2 linked regions of the Anolis sagrei genome follow. The protein of the gene in region 1 binds, or shares a complex with, the protein of each later gene. Links are inferred from orthologs where the notes say so. Each region holds a gene or a part of one and is shown on either strand. Other genes may lie near its edges.

The links.
Region 2: the proteins of RAN (region 1) and RANGAP1 are in contact, whole or in part, in a cryo-EM structure (PDB 9B62), measured with the Homo sapiens proteins. The link is inferred for Anolis sagrei from reciprocal best matches to the Homo sapiens genes RAN and RANGAP1. Residues at the interface, in NP_006316.1 of Homo sapiens: Asp18, Gly20, Tyr39, Val40, Ala41, Thr42, Leu43, Gly44, Val45, Glu46, Glu70, Lys71, Leu75, Arg76, Tyr79, Asp91, Thr93, Ser94, Arg95, Val96, Thr97, Asn100, Lys123, Asp128, Arg129, Lys130, Lys132, Lys134; in NP_001265580.1 of Homo sapiens: Ser29, Gly58, Asn59, Thr60, Asp86, Thr89, Gly90, Arg91, Leu92, Arg93, Ile96, Asp121, Ala123, Phe124, Gly125, Asp127, Asn151, Cys152, Gly153, Met154, Gly155, Arg189, Asn190, Arg191, Gln217, Asn244, Asp245, Asn246, Thr247, Asp273.

Annotation. Positions count from the first base shown.
Region 1 is NC_090034.1:37,904,098-37,911,799, reverse strand, and holds the start of RAN (GTP-binding nuclear protein Ran), read left to right. Parts: upstream 1-4,696; 5' UTR 4,697-4,821; intron 4,822-5,157; exon of another isoform or gene 5,158-5,315; intron 5,316-5,545; 5' UTR 5,546-5,552; coding exon 5,553-5,591; intron 5,592-7,702. UniProt on the Homo sapiens protein: GTPase involved in nucleocytoplasmic transport, participating both to the import and the export from the nucleus of proteins and RNAs. Switches between a cytoplasmic GDP- and a nuclear GTP-bound state by nucleotide exchange and GTP hydrolysis.
Region 2 is NC_090025.1:161,611,076-161,618,098, forward strand, and holds the start of RANGAP1 (ran GTPase-activating protein 1), read left to right. Parts: upstream 1-4,014; 5' UTR 4,015-4,224; exon of another isoform or gene 4,225-4,284; intron 4,285-7,023. UniProt on the Homo sapiens protein: GTPase activator for RAN. Converts cytoplasmic GTP-bound RAN to GDP-bound RAN, which is essential for RAN-mediated nuclear import and export. Mediates dissociation of cargo from nuclear export complexes containing XPO1, RAN and RANBP2 after nuclear export.

The sequences.
Region 1 (7,702 bases):
TTCATGACCCCAGCATAACAAACTCTTGGGAAATTCCTTCCTATTTCCTGAGATGAATTCCCCACTGACTTAAGGACTCCAACAAAGACTTATTGCATAATAATAACAACGGTGCCTCTTGGGTCTCGGAGCATGACCGCCTAGGAAAGCACCCCCATGGTGACTCTATCACTCATCAACAATGGTACATCCTGCCTTCAGGAAAGATCAGGATGCCCCATCCGCCTCACCCATTGTCTTTGCACCCTTGGCTGAAACCAACACACAGATAGCATCAATTGATCCCATATCCAGGACAAAAGATTATCAAGGCTTGGCAGCCGCGCCAACCATTTTTGTATATTTCACCCCCACGGGACAATACCAGGCCAGCTTGAGGAATATCCGGATTATCGCTGGCCATCGGACAAACCATTAAGTTACATTTAATCCACTAATTTTTTTTCCTCTCGGTTCTTTGTTTCCTGCTTGTACTGCCTCCTCAATTCCCATTGGCTCAGAAGCCAAAGCAGCGCTGGCTTCCCTATTGGCCAAGGCACGCCTGAGCCGGCCGCGCCTCCCTCCAGCTGATGACTCCAACCAATCGGCGTGAAGCCAGCAAGGGGCACGGGAAGTTTGAATTTGACAGTTCTGTATTTCCTATAAATTGTACAGATCCTGGGATATTGGGCCTGTCTGGACTCTAAGGCCTCTTCCACACAGCCCTATTTCCCAGAATATCAAGGCAGAAAATCTCACATTATCTGAGTGTGGACTCAGATAACCCAGATCAAATCAGATATTGTGGGATTTTCTGCCTTGATATTCTGAGATATAGAGCTGTGTGGAAGGGCCCTAAGGCACCTAGATCCCTTTTGGATACACTCAAGGCAAGGAAATAGTGGTAAGGTAGCAAAAATGCTAACATTTCACAATGAAAAAGCCAGAACTCAATACTAATTCCACTTGATTTTTCTCCCCAAAAGAGAAGTGTGCACTTCCATGTAGCAGCAGATATACTAACTAGGGATTTTAATTGCAACTCAGGATTGATAGGATGTTAGTCATGAATCACCTTACTAACCAGAATGAGTTCAGATCAGCAGGGCCAGATGAACTGCATCCCAGGGCACTGAAGGAGCTTTCAATTTTACAATTTAATTGCTGAGGGCAAATACTAATTGTAGAATTGATGCCCACATAATGTGTTGATGACCATCAATTTATGTGGCTCTGAAAGGGACATTGGATAGCTTTCTTGGAGAATAATGCTCTCAACGAATGTGTATTAGTCAAGATGGCTGGCTATATGCTGCCTCCAAACAAAAGTACTTTAAGCCACGCAGCTTCTAGCTTTGTTGGTCAGAAGGCATCCTGCAGCTATTTTATCTTCCTTTTTTTCATAGACATTTGTTGTTGTAAATAAAAAGATGGAAAAAACCAGTGGAAAGCACAGGAAAATTACAAATAGAAATGTTGTTACTCCTCCCTGGTCCCCAAACCTCAGAGAATACAATACAAATCTTGTACAGAAGCAAAATACACCACTTACTAGAGAACAGCAGGAGAAAACCAAACAATTGCTCTCATAGCCTGCAGAATGGAGAACGTTTGAAATGGGCTTCTTTCTCTTTGCTAAAGTTTTTATTTCATATGAACTGTTTAAGTTGCATTTTCAATTGAAGACTTTACACTGAATTAAACCGAATGAATAGTCGTCACTGAAAAATGTGAAAAAGCTACTTCTTGGACCACAACACTCACATTCTTAAGAGATTCTGGAAATGGTTGACCTAAAAAGTAATTTTTCCAAAGTGTAGTATGTTTTACAAATTGAAGCTATGCAGTCAAAAGGCAACTTTGCTTATATCAGTGGAGCTTATGCTGAGGTAAGGACTGTAGTCATGCTGATCCTACAAAATCCATTCCTCTGCTAGCACTGGTGCCCTTGTGTTCTCTGTCTATGTAAATGCATACAGTGGGAAGACCAATCGCTAGGACCTGCTGTAAGTGTGCTTCCCCCGCTACACACACAAACACACTCCCTCGCCAGGAATAATGCCTAGAAACAACTGACCATCACATACCAATTACACATTTGTCTCATCAGAAGACTAAACTCACAAATCCTTTGTGAACTAAAAGTATTGTGATTTTTGTGTGTGTCAGGAACAACTTGAGAAACAGCAAGTCATGTCTGGTGTGAGAAAAATGGCTGTCTGCAAGGATGTTGCCCAGTGAACGCTTGGATGTTTTTCCATCCTGTGGGAGGCTTTTCTCATGTCCCCACATGGGAAGCTGGAGCTGACAGGAGCTCACCCCACTCCCTAGATTCGAATCGCCTACCTTTTGGTCAGCAGTCCTGCTGACACAAGGATTTAACTCATTGCACCACTGGGGGGCTCCTATTATGAAATAATAAATGGGTATAAATTATATAACTTGTATATCTAAGCACAAATAGCACAACAAAGAAGTGTTACAGCAGGTTGAGAGTTTGGAAGGGGCTGTAGTCAATAAATTCCTCAGGCAACTCATGCTAGCGGTCATGAAAATCCAAGCAAGTACAGGCAGTCCCCAAGTTACGAACAAGATTGTTTCTGTAGGTTTGTTCGTAAGTTAAATTTGTATGTAAATAGGAACAGGGACATTTCTTGAGTGTAACTCCAACCAAATATATAAGGTTTTTTTGGGTCACACTTCAGGGTCAATATTCCTGTGGCGTTTTGCTGCCTATGCCCCTGTTTAGAATAAAGTGTTCCCACACTTTCTATCCCTGTGATAATTGGATTTTGAGAAATGTGGCTTGTTGTAGAAACAACAACTGGGGATAAAGCTTCAGTAGAGACTCGATTTTCCAGGAGTGGATTTCCCTTCCTTGGGATAGATATCTCTCCCTTCCTGTTGTCTCGGGGCCCTTCCAGTCATAACCCAGAATATCAAGGCAGAAAATCCAACAATATCTGCTTTGAACTGGGTTATCTGAGTCCACACTGCCATATATTCAAATTAAAAGCAGATAATATGGGATTTTATTCAGCTGTGTGGAAGGAGTCTCAGCCCTATTTTTAATTAGGAGTTGTTTGTAAGCCGGATGTTTGTAACTCGGGGATTAACTGCAGTTCATTATATAGCAGACACTCGGGCTGGATCTATACTGCCACAGCAACTCAGTTTCTGAATCCAAATGATCTGCTTTGAACTGGATTCTACAAGGGCCCTTCCACACAGCCATATAATCTAGGACAGTGGTTCTCGACCTGTGGGTCCCCAGATGTTTTGGCCTTCAACTCCCAGAAATCCTAACAGCTGGTAAACTGGCTGGGATTTCTGGGAGTTGTAGGCCAAAACATCTGGAGACCCACAGGTTGAGAACCACTGATCTAGAATACCTGGTAGTCCACCAGATCTGCTTTGAACCGAGTTATTTGAGGGTCCTTTCACACAGCCCTGTATACCAGAATATCAAGGCAGAAAATCCCACAATATCTGCTTTGAACTGGGTTATCTGAGTCCACACTCAGATGTGGGATTTTCTGCCTTGGTATTCTGGGGGCCTTTCCACACAGCCCTATATCCCTGAATATCAAGGCAGAAAATCCCACATTACCTGAGTGTGGACTCTTGATAACCCAGTTCAAAGCAGGTAATGTGGGATTTTCTGCCTTAATATTCTGGGCTATAGGACCCCCAGAATCTCAAGGCAGGAAATCCCACAAAATCTGCTTTGAAGTGGGTTATCTGAGTCCACACTGCCATATATCCCAGTTCAAAGGAGATAATGTATTTTATTCAGCTGTGTGGAAGGGACCCCAGGGCCCTTCCACACAGCCCTATATCCCAGAATATCTAAGGCAAAAAATCCCACCACTGAATAAAATCCCATATTATCCGTTTTGAACTGGAATATATGGCAGTGTGGACTCTGATAACCCACTTCAAAACAGATATTGTGGGATTTTCTGCCTTGATATTCTGGGATATAGGGCTATGTGGAAGGGCCTGGGTTAGTCGTATCCACACTGCCATATATTCCAATTCAAAGCAGATATGGTAGGATTTTGGCGTGGAAGGAGCCTGAGAGCTCTTCCACAGCCATATAACCCAGGATAGCAAGGCACGAAATCCCACAATATCTGCTTTGAACTGGATTGTCTGAGTCCACACTGCCAAATAACCCAGTTCACAGCAGATATTTTGGATTTCCTGCCTTGAGATTCTGAGTTAAATGACTGGTTGGAAACGGCTTGAGTCTTCACGGCCACCAGAGAGAAAGGACGGGGGAGAGCGGCCCTTTCTTCCACCCAGGCGGAGAGCGCCTCCTTGCCTTCGGCTGGACTGCCTGCCTGCCTGCCTGTGGCCCCGTCCACACAGCAGGAGAAAATCCCCCAATCTCTGCTTTGAAGTGGGCTATGTGGCAGTGTGGACTCCAATAACCCAGTTCAAAGCAGATACTGTGGGATTCCCTGCCTTGATATTCTGGGTGAGATGGCCGAGTGGAAAAGCCCTGCGAGCGAGCGAGCGAGTGAGCGCGGCGAGAAAGAGGCGCGAAGAGCCGGGCTCTCCCTCTCCTCCTCCTCCGCCTTCCGAGGCAGCCACGTGACACGGAGCCCGCCCCTCCCCCCGCCCTGTTTGCCCGTTTGTGAGCGCGCGCGGGCCTCTGTGACGTCAGGCCTGCGTGGCCCCCGCGCGCACGCCCCGCCCCCTTTCCCCCTTCTTTTTTACGGCTATTTGAACCCTCGCGCTTCCGCCATCTTCCTCAGCCGTCCGCCCAGCTCGCGGAGGGAGACAAGAGAGAGAGCCAAGAGCGAGCGGAGTGAGAAAGAAAACCGCCCCGGGAAGGTAACTCTGGGGCAGGAGAGGCGGGAGGCCGAGGGGGAGCGAGCCGGGGAGGCCCTCGCAGGCTGCGGAGGCGCCTCAGGGCAGCGCTAGGCGGGCAGGCGAGCGGGAGAGGCGCCGGCTGAGGCCCGCCAGGAGGGTGCGTGTCTCGCTCTGGAGATTCCCGCGCGGCGGTGGCCGTTGGGGCGGCGGTTGGCGGGGGAGGGAGGGGGAGGGGCGGCCGCGCCTCAGTCTCGGTCCCCCGCGGGAAGTGCCCGCCAGGAGGAGGCGGATCTCCGCGGAGAAGCAGTCAGGCACCGGGCGGATCCCACCTGAGGGATCTGCCGGCAAACAACGTACGTGGGTGGTACTTCTCCGTCTCCCTCAGAGAGAGCTCTGCCCCAAGGCCGTCTCTTGCCTCGTTTCTGAGGCGATCACAATGGCTCGCCTTGTCCCTCCGGCGTATTGTTTGCAAGCGCTGCCTTACGCCCCTCGATTGTGCTGAGCCATTCCGGGCCCGGGGGGAGGGGGGGGGAAGAAGAGAGGCGAGGCCAGGCTAGGCGAGGCTTGTTTGGGGGGGGGGCGCCATTGGCCGCTCCGGCTGCCACTTCCTGCCTCGCGCCCCGGATGCAGAGGCCGCCACGCGCCTTTTGGGGAGCTCGGGCGAATAGGGCCTTCCTCACCGATCACGCCTCTTGCCTTCCTTCCTTCCTTCTTCCCTCCCTCCCTCGCTCCTCTTCCTCTCCAGACGCAGCATGGCCGCCCCGCAAGGAGAACCCCAAGTCCAGTTTAAGGTAAGCAGCCTCTGAGCCCTCTTTCCCCCAATAGATTCTTTACTAAAAAGAAAAGCAGTTTCCCCACCCCACAACTTTTTCCCCTGTTTGGTGGGGCGGGAGGATCCCTGTGGCGCGTGGCTTCCTTTGTTCGCCTAGGAATCCGCAGGAACCCCACGCGCACAGTTTGACATCTAATTTGTAACTCCCTTCCACACAGCTGTATAAAATCCACATTGAGTTGGATTATCTGATGTTTATTTATGTCCCACTTTTTCTCTCCATACTGAGGGTCCTTCCACACAGCCCTATATCCCAGAATATCAGGGCAGAAAATCCTATAATATCTTCTTTGAACTGGGTTATCTGAGTCCACACTCCGATACTATGGGATTTTCCGCCTTGGTATTCTGGGATTTAGGGCTGTGTGGAAGGACCCCCAGTTCAAAGCAAATATTGTGGAATTTTCTGCCTTGATCTTCTTCTGGGCTATAGGGCTATGTGGAAGGGGCTCTCAAAGCGGCTCACAACTAAAAGCACTGCAGCACAACTTCAAATATACAAGTATTAAAACCAGTATAAAACATCATTAACCACATACAAAATCACAGCAGTCCCCCCCCCCCCTTGATGATCTTTACAAACCTTTAAAAGCCTACCTGAATGAAAATGTTGGATTTTGCTATCTGAAGGACAGCAGGGAGGATGGGGCCATTCTAGTTTTCCCAGGGCAGAGAGTTCCAGAGTCTACTGCGGCAGTTTGGACTCACATAACCAAGTTCCAAGTGGATATTGTGGGTTATCAGCCTTGATAGTCTGGGGGCTCTTTCACATAGCTCTTTATCTCAGAATACCAAGGCAGAAAATCCTACAGTATCGGAGTGTGGACTCAGATAACCCAGTTCAAAGCAGATATTGTGGATTTTCTGCCTTGATCTTGATTATAGGGTTGTGTGGAAGGGCCCTGGGTTATATGGCTGTGTGGAAGAGCCCTAAATGTGTTAAGGATCCGAAGAATTTAACTTTTAGGTAACCGAAGGCAACATTGTGCTTTTGGACTTCATGGCTGTCTGGTTTGATTTTTATTGGTAGTGTGATATATATTTGTAACCCACTATGTTCTCTTCCACACAGCTGAATAAAATCCCACATTATTGGCTTTGAACTGTATTATATGGCAGTGTGGATTCATAATCCAGTTCAAAGCAGATATTGTGGAATTTTCTGCCTTGATATACATCACCATCATTTAATAACTTATTAATCACCCTCCATCCGAGAATGCTCCAGGCGATTTACAGCTAAATTACAAAAGATAAAATACATACATACAAAAATTAAAAATCAGCAGAGATCGAATGCTCTAGTAAAAAGCCAGGTCTTAAGTGTGAGAGTAAAAGGCCCTAAGTCACGCATGGCTCTCATGTAGGGCGGCATATTCTGGGTTATATTCTGGGTTATATGGCTGTGTGGAAGGGCCCTAAGCAACATGGTTTTTGTTCCTGGGCTATAAATGTCATTTCCTAATTGGTTCTATCATAAAAGCATGGGCAAAGTGCATTGAACTTCAAAATCGTTTTGGCGGGACATCCTGCTATAGCACATTTTGCTATAGTCTTTTAATGACTAGCCTATAGTCTTGGCTGATTCAGCCTAGCTTATGGCAGCCACAAAAATGACTTTCTGGAGTAGAACAACTGCTTTCAAAGTAAGGACCGCACAACTAATACGGGAAATAACACTTTCAAACCAGAAACAGAAAATGTTTCAAATTTTGTTACATTGTGTTATTTCAAACAATGAGATGGTGATTTTAAATTACAAGTTTATTAGTTTACATTATTTGTAACGTTTTTGTCCTGTTTTTCCTCCATTGAGCTGAATGTGCCACATATATGGCAGCCCTTTCTCCCCCTATTATATCCAAATATTATGTTACTCAACTCAAATTAAAGGTGTATTGAGGTTTGAAAGTAGTGGGCTTACAAACCTACCATGCTGACACTGTGAAGTTCAGTTTCATCTGAAAAGCCATTGAGTATAACTTCAAAACCCTTAGAATGAAATATAAAGAAAACTAGCAAAAAAGCTTTACAGGCAGTCTCTGAGTTACAAACATCCGACTTACAAAT
Region 2 (7,023 bases), on another chromosome or scaffold:
TCAGGAGTACCACCTGCCAGTAGTAAATAACTGGTGGGACCATAAACCTGCAGTTCCATCTTGTCTCCTGCAATGTGCTTATAATATGATATAATATAATACAATATAATATAATATATTGTATATACATATAATATTGGTAATATTATAATGTAATACAATGTAATACTAATAATAATATTATAATTATATATTTTATATTACATGTAATATTACTAACAATATTACAGTATAATGTTATAGTACAATCGAATATATAGTATTAATATTGTGCTAGATCCGCATAGTTAAAGCAATGGTATTCCCCATAGTCACCTACAGATGTGAGAGCTGGACCAAGGGGAAGGCTGAGCAAAGGAAGAGATGTTTTCGAACTGTGGTGCCACAGGAAAGTTCTGAGAGTGCCTTCGACTGCGAGAAGATCCAACCAGTCCATACTTCAGGAAATAAAGCCCGACTGCTCATTGAAGGGAAGGATAGTACTGCTCATTGAAGGGAAGGATAGCACCGGGATTGTGGCGCAGCTGGCTGAGTGTCAGCTGCACTAAGATCACTCTGACCAAAAGGTCATGAGTTTGAAGCCAGCCCGGGCTGGAGTGGGTGTCCAGCCATTGTGTAGCCTGTTGTCGACCTTTGCAACCCGAAAGACAGTTGCATCTGTCAAGTAGGAAAATAAGGCACCACCTTGTGTGGGAGGCTAAATTTAACTAATTTATGAGGCCATAAAGAAAAAAGACTCCGGGGAATGTGGAATGCGGAAGAACTTCATCGGTGTCGCTGATGGACGATGAAAAGCAGCAGCTCCCCTGGCGGCCAGAAAAAAGTTAAATAGCCTTGGTGTATTTGTGTGTTAAACGTTGTTTGTCAAAACTGGCACTGAATGTTTGCCATATATGTGTTGACTGTAATCCGCCCTGAGTCCCCTGCGGGGTGAGAAGGGCGGAATATAAGAACTGTAAATAAATAAATAAATAAATAAATAAATAAATAGTAGAGGCCAAGATTAAGTACTTTGACCACATCATTAGAAGAAAGGAAAGCTTAGAGAAGACAATTATGCTGGGGAAAATTGAAGGAAAAAGGAAGAAGGGCTGACCAAAGGCAAGATGGATGGATGGGATCCTTGAAGTGACTGGATTGACCTTGAAGGAGCTGGGGGTGGTGACTGCCAACAGGGAGCCGGACACAAAGAGTCAGAAACGACTGAACAAATGAACAACAACAAAATGGTAATATAATATATTGTATTTACTTTTTACATGTAAGCCGCTCTGAGTCTCCTTCGGGGTGAGAAGGGCAGCATATAAATGTTGTAAATAAATAAATAAATAATAGTGTAAATGTGTGTGTGTGTCAGGAGTGACTTGAGAAAGTGCAACTTGTTTCTGGTGTGGGAGAATTGGACATAAAATAATATTTGGACATAAAAAATTAAAAATGATAATACAATAACATTTATATTAAAAACACTCATTTGGAGAGTACGCAGGAATATCCTGTCACCTGACATCAATTTTCTTGCGGCTGATAATCCTTTTTTTAATGCATGCACAAATATTGTTTTACCTATGAAAGTAATCATTGTGCTTTGTATTTTTTCACAGATCTCTTGCTACATTCATATGCAGAACAAAAATACATTTATATATATTGTATAACTTGTAATGCCAAAAGAACAGAGAGGAGTGGAAGTGTTTGGAATTAAAGCTGTCTCAGTTTTCTTTGCTTATGCACTCTCTAATGAACTCTATGCTCTCTCCATTCCTTCCTCTTTCTATTAATGGGATTTCCCCCTCTTCATAGTCACCAGCTGATTAATGTGTATATTCTAATTTTAATGTGTATGTCACCATATGTGTGTGTGTATGTATGTATATACTGTGGGCTACTGAAATGATCAAAGGTCTGGAAACCATTAATCCCTATGAGGAGCATCTTAAAGAAATGAGTACGGTGTGTTTATACTGCAGAAGAGAAGACTGAGAGGAGACATGATGGCCATGTATAAATATGTGAAAGGATGTCATAAGGAAGAGGGAGAAAGCTTCCTTTTTGCTGCCCTGGAGACTAGGATTCAGAGCAATGGGTTCAAATTACAGGAAAGGCGATCCCACCTGAACATTAGGAAGAACTTCCTGATTGTGAGGGCTGTTCAGCAGTGGAACTCACTGCCTTGGAGTGTGGTGGAGGCTCTTTTTTGGAGGCTTTTAAACAGAGATTAAGATCTTATTGGGAGGCCCTGTTCTCAGTCTCGTCACCATCACAGTGATTGGCGGGGATGAGAGACAGGGCCTTCTCAGTGATTGCCTCCCTGGCTACGGAACTCCCTTCCTGGCAAGATTAGATCAGCCTACTCCCTCCTGTCATTCAGAAAGATGGTAAGAGCTTGGGTTTTTGCACTGCCTTTGGAGCAGTGCAATAAGGCAACAACAGAAAACTTTACACTGCCAACCAAAGTCAATATGGCTGTTTTGAGACGATTTTAAATAATTGATTTCAAAGTGGGATAACGGATTTTAATGTTTATGTTTTTTTATAGTTTATTTATGTTCTGGCATTTAATGTTTGCCGTATATGTGTTGTGCTCTGCCCTGAGTCCCCTTCAGCGTGAGAAGGGTTGGAATGGAAATGTTTTTTAAAAATAGATAAATGAAATAGAGGCTGGATGGTCCTCTGTCGGGGTGCTTTGAATGTGATTTTCCTGCTCCCAGGCAGGGGTTAGACTGGATGGCCCACAAGGTATCTTCCAACTCTATGATTCTGTTGGCCTGCTTCTTGAAAGCAATACTTACAGAGTAATTCTATTGACTTTGGGTGCATGTACACCAGGCATAGGCCAACTTGGGCCCTCTAGGTGAGGCTGAACCTGGAACTCCCTGCCTTCAAGTTGATCTGACCCACAGCAGGGAGTTCCTCAGTTCTCCATTGCCCCGCTTGGGCCAACCGCATGAACGTGACCACAGCAGCAGCTGCAACTCAGAAGCCTTCTAATTTCTTTGCCTTTCCCCCTTACTAACATTGTAATGAATCCCCCCAATAAAAAGTATGAATTAATTGTAACTTTTTTCCTCTCCATAGTGTTACTTTGTGTCCCTTTACTGCCTCAAACTTCTCTTTCGATAAACCTTTCTTCTCCCGGGCTGCAGATAACTGCCGGCCCTCCCGGAATGCGATTTTCGCATCCCGGGGAGGCCGAAACTGCACTCCCTTAAACAGCGGGTATGGAAACCCTTCGGGGCCCCGTATCTGCGAGTCAACGGATCGCTTCTAAAATTGTGTCATTCTTCTCCTGGGAGAATTCTAATACTAATGGCTATCTTAGTTTTGCTCTGCTGCCCCGGGAATAACCTTTTTAGCCTCTAAAACCCCAACCTGGCGTCCAGCTGTTTTTTCAAAGATGTTGCCTTGCGGGAGCCTCTAAATTCTAGCTCGATATCAGGAGTTGAAGTCCAAAACACCTGGACGGCCCAAGTTTGCCCGTGCCTGGTCTACTGGCTGTTAGGAATGGTGGGAGTTGAAGTCCAAAACACCTGGAGGGCCCAAGTTGGCCTGATCTACACTGTAGAATTAACACAGCTTGAAATCACTTTAATTGCAGTGGCCCAATGGTATGGAATAATGGGAACTGTAGTTCGGTGAGGTACTAATACAGTACTCTTTGGCAGAGAAGACTAAAGATCTTAAACTACAACTCCCAGGATTCCATAGGATTGAGCCCTGGCAGCCAAAATAGTTGTCAAACTGCGTTAAGTCTAGAATGTAGATGGGCACAAAGAAACAAGGAAATTCCGTCTTCTACACAAGGTCCAGGAGCCTTCTCTAGTCTAGAACCCAATTGGTAAGGAATGCTGCTTCCTGGTGCCTTCCTCAAACGGCTTCAAACGTTTGGTTATTAAAAACTACAACTCCCATGATGCCTCGCGACAAAGGCGGCTGCGTCGCGAGGCACGAAATTGTGACCTCCCCCTCCCGCTGCCCACCCGCCTCAGTCTCTGAGCCACCCCTGGCTGCACGAGGAGGGCCTCTGGGAGGACGAGGAGGAGGACCAAGATCCACTCTGCGCAAGCGCAAGAAACAGAAGCGCTAAGACAGCGAATCACCATCCAGGAAACAAAACTGCCGGCTTTCAAATCCTCCGCCTCCTGCTAACGCCATCCTCCTCCCCCTCTTCTCCAGAGGCAAGAGCGCGGCGACGTGAAGGGCTGCGATCGGGGGACTCCGCAGGTTCGTGGGTTTGATTTATTGGAGCACGTTTGACTAAACGGCGGAAAGAAGCGTGGGAGGGTGAGTTAATTATTTTTGTTCCTCTGAAATAAAGTTTCCTCGCGTTTCCCGGCAGTTTGAGGAAGGAAAGACACGCTGGCGTTTGGCCCCAGGGCTACACGTGTGGGCGCATCCACACGTCGTCACGGTACACGTGTCCTGGGCTATTACAGACCGGGATTGGAAAGCCTATCCAAAACTGATCAGTTTCTTCCGTGTGTGACGTCACGCCCCGTGGGACCAAAGGCCTGGGCAAACATGGGCCTTCCAGGTGTTTTGGAGTTCAACTCCCATCATTCCTTACAGCCTCAGGCCCTTTCCTTTTCCCCCTCAGCCGCTTAAGCGGCTGAGGGGGAAAAGGAAGGGGCCTGAGGCTGTGAGGAATGATGGGAGTTGAACTCCAAAACACCTGGAAGGCCCAAGTTTGCCCATGCCTAGTCTACACCGTTGAATTAATTAAGTTTGACACCACTTAAGGTGTCTCAGTGGTGTGGTATCATGGGAGCCTCAACAAACTACAACTCCCATTGAGCCTTGGCAGTTCAAGCAGGACCAAACTTCATTAATTCTACAGTGTAGATGATTATATAAATGATGACAAAAATAAATTGGAAAATGCATAGGAAAGGGATAGTAGTAGTAGTAATAATAATGCTCAGATGATTCATTGGAACTTGTGCCACAAATACCATCTGCCTGTCACAAAGAACTGGTGGGATCACAAGCCGGGAAAAGTTACAGAGAATGAACATGTCAAACTCCTCTGGGACTTCTGGATTCAGACAGAGTTTTGGAGCACAATACTCCTGACCTCATGAGTATGGATCGTCGATGTTGCAATCCCAGGTGACAGCAGGATTGAAGGGAAACGACTGGAAAAGCTGACACGATATGAGGATTTAAAGATCGAACTGCAAAGACTCTGGCACAAGTCAGTCAAGGTGGTCCTAGTGGTGATCGGCACACTGGGTGCAGTGCCTAAAGACTTTGTCCTGCACTTAAACCCAATCGGTACTGACAAGATTACCATCTGCCAGCTGCAAAAGGTCACCTTACTGGGATCAGCACACATTATTTCCCGATACATCACACAGTCCTAGACACCTAGGAAGTGTCTGATGTGTGATCCAATACAACAGCCAGCAGAGTGATCTTGTCTGCTATGGACTCATCTTGTTGTGTTTCAAATAATAATAATAACAATAACAACAACAACATTATTTGTATTCCACCCTTTCTCCCTGAGAGGACTCATGGCGGATTCCAGCATAACAATGGCAAACATTCAATGTCTTCATAAAACACACAATACTAATACGAATAGTAGGGATATCAGATCAGCCCCCAACCTCATAATATTTCGTAAAAAAGTTAAAACTTGGCTTTTTGTGCAAGCTTTCCTAAATGCAGTGTAGCAGACAAACTGATCTTTGGAACAACTGGACAATGCGATGAGATAATGATTTTAGTAATGAGACGCTGAGGATTTATACTTTTATGGGTTTTATTATTTTATTTAATGTTATTTATGCTAAATGTATTAATTGTTTTTACGTTATTGTGAATATCAAATTGTGCCATTTGCCCTGAGTCACCCTTGGGCTGAGATTGCAGGATATAAATATGGTAAATAAATAAGGAACCCCCAGTGGTGTAGTGGGTTAAACCGCTGAGCTGCTGAACTTGCTAACCGAAAGGTTGCAGGTTCGAATCCAGGGACTAGTGTGAGCTCGTGCTGCTAGCCCCAGCTTCTGCCAACCTAGCAGTTTGCAGTAGATCAATAGGTACCACCCTGGCAGGAAGGTAATGGTGCTCCATGCAGTCATGCCAGTCACATGACCTTGGAGGTGTCTATAGGCAATGCCAGCTCTTCGGCTTAGAAATGGAGATGAGCACCAACCCCCAGTCAAGCATTGTTAATGTCAGGGGGAAGCCTTTACCTAGTAAGAATAGTGAGGAATCAGGAGCGGCTCATTGCCTCCATATAGTAAAAAAGTTGATATATGATTCGTGATTTCCATGAATAATTAAGAAATAATGCAGTTGCAGTCCTTTTTGAATTTCAGAAGCGATCCTAGTTGGATGTATTGTTGAAGGCTTTCATGGCCGGAATGACTGGGTTGTTGTGAGTTTTCTGGGCTGTATGGTCATGTTCCAGAAGCATTCTCTCCTGACATTTTGCCTGCATCTATGGCAGGCATCCTCAGAGGTTGTGAGGAGGTCTGTTGGAAACTAGGCAACTGCTAGACCATTAAATCCTAATCAAGGTGGCCAGTTGAAACATTCACACCTACCTCAAACAGACAAGAGTTCTTTCTCCCACCCTGGACATTCCATAGATATATAAACCCCATTTTCCTAGTTTCTAACAGACCTCACAATCTCTGAGGATGCCTGCTATAGATTCAGCTGAAACGTCAAGAGAGAATGCTTCTGGAACATGGCATACAGCCCGGAAAACTCACAACAACCCACTGATCCTAGCTGGCCTTGTGGATTAAGCGCAAGTAAAAGCCAGTAAATACTACACAATACTGGTCCTATCAACTACAAATGGGCTGCTCCATCTCCAAATTGCATTTCTGACAATGCAGCCAAACTCTGTGGGTCAGTGGAAACATGTGAGGAAAAGGGACCTTTTGAAATAATGTGTGTTTAGCGCTTTGAAAGAGATTACTAGCAGTTTTTGTATTGTGCTCAGAAATGCTACACAAAGCTGTTGTACTGCAGTTGCAAAGGGATCCCTTACGTAAACACAAA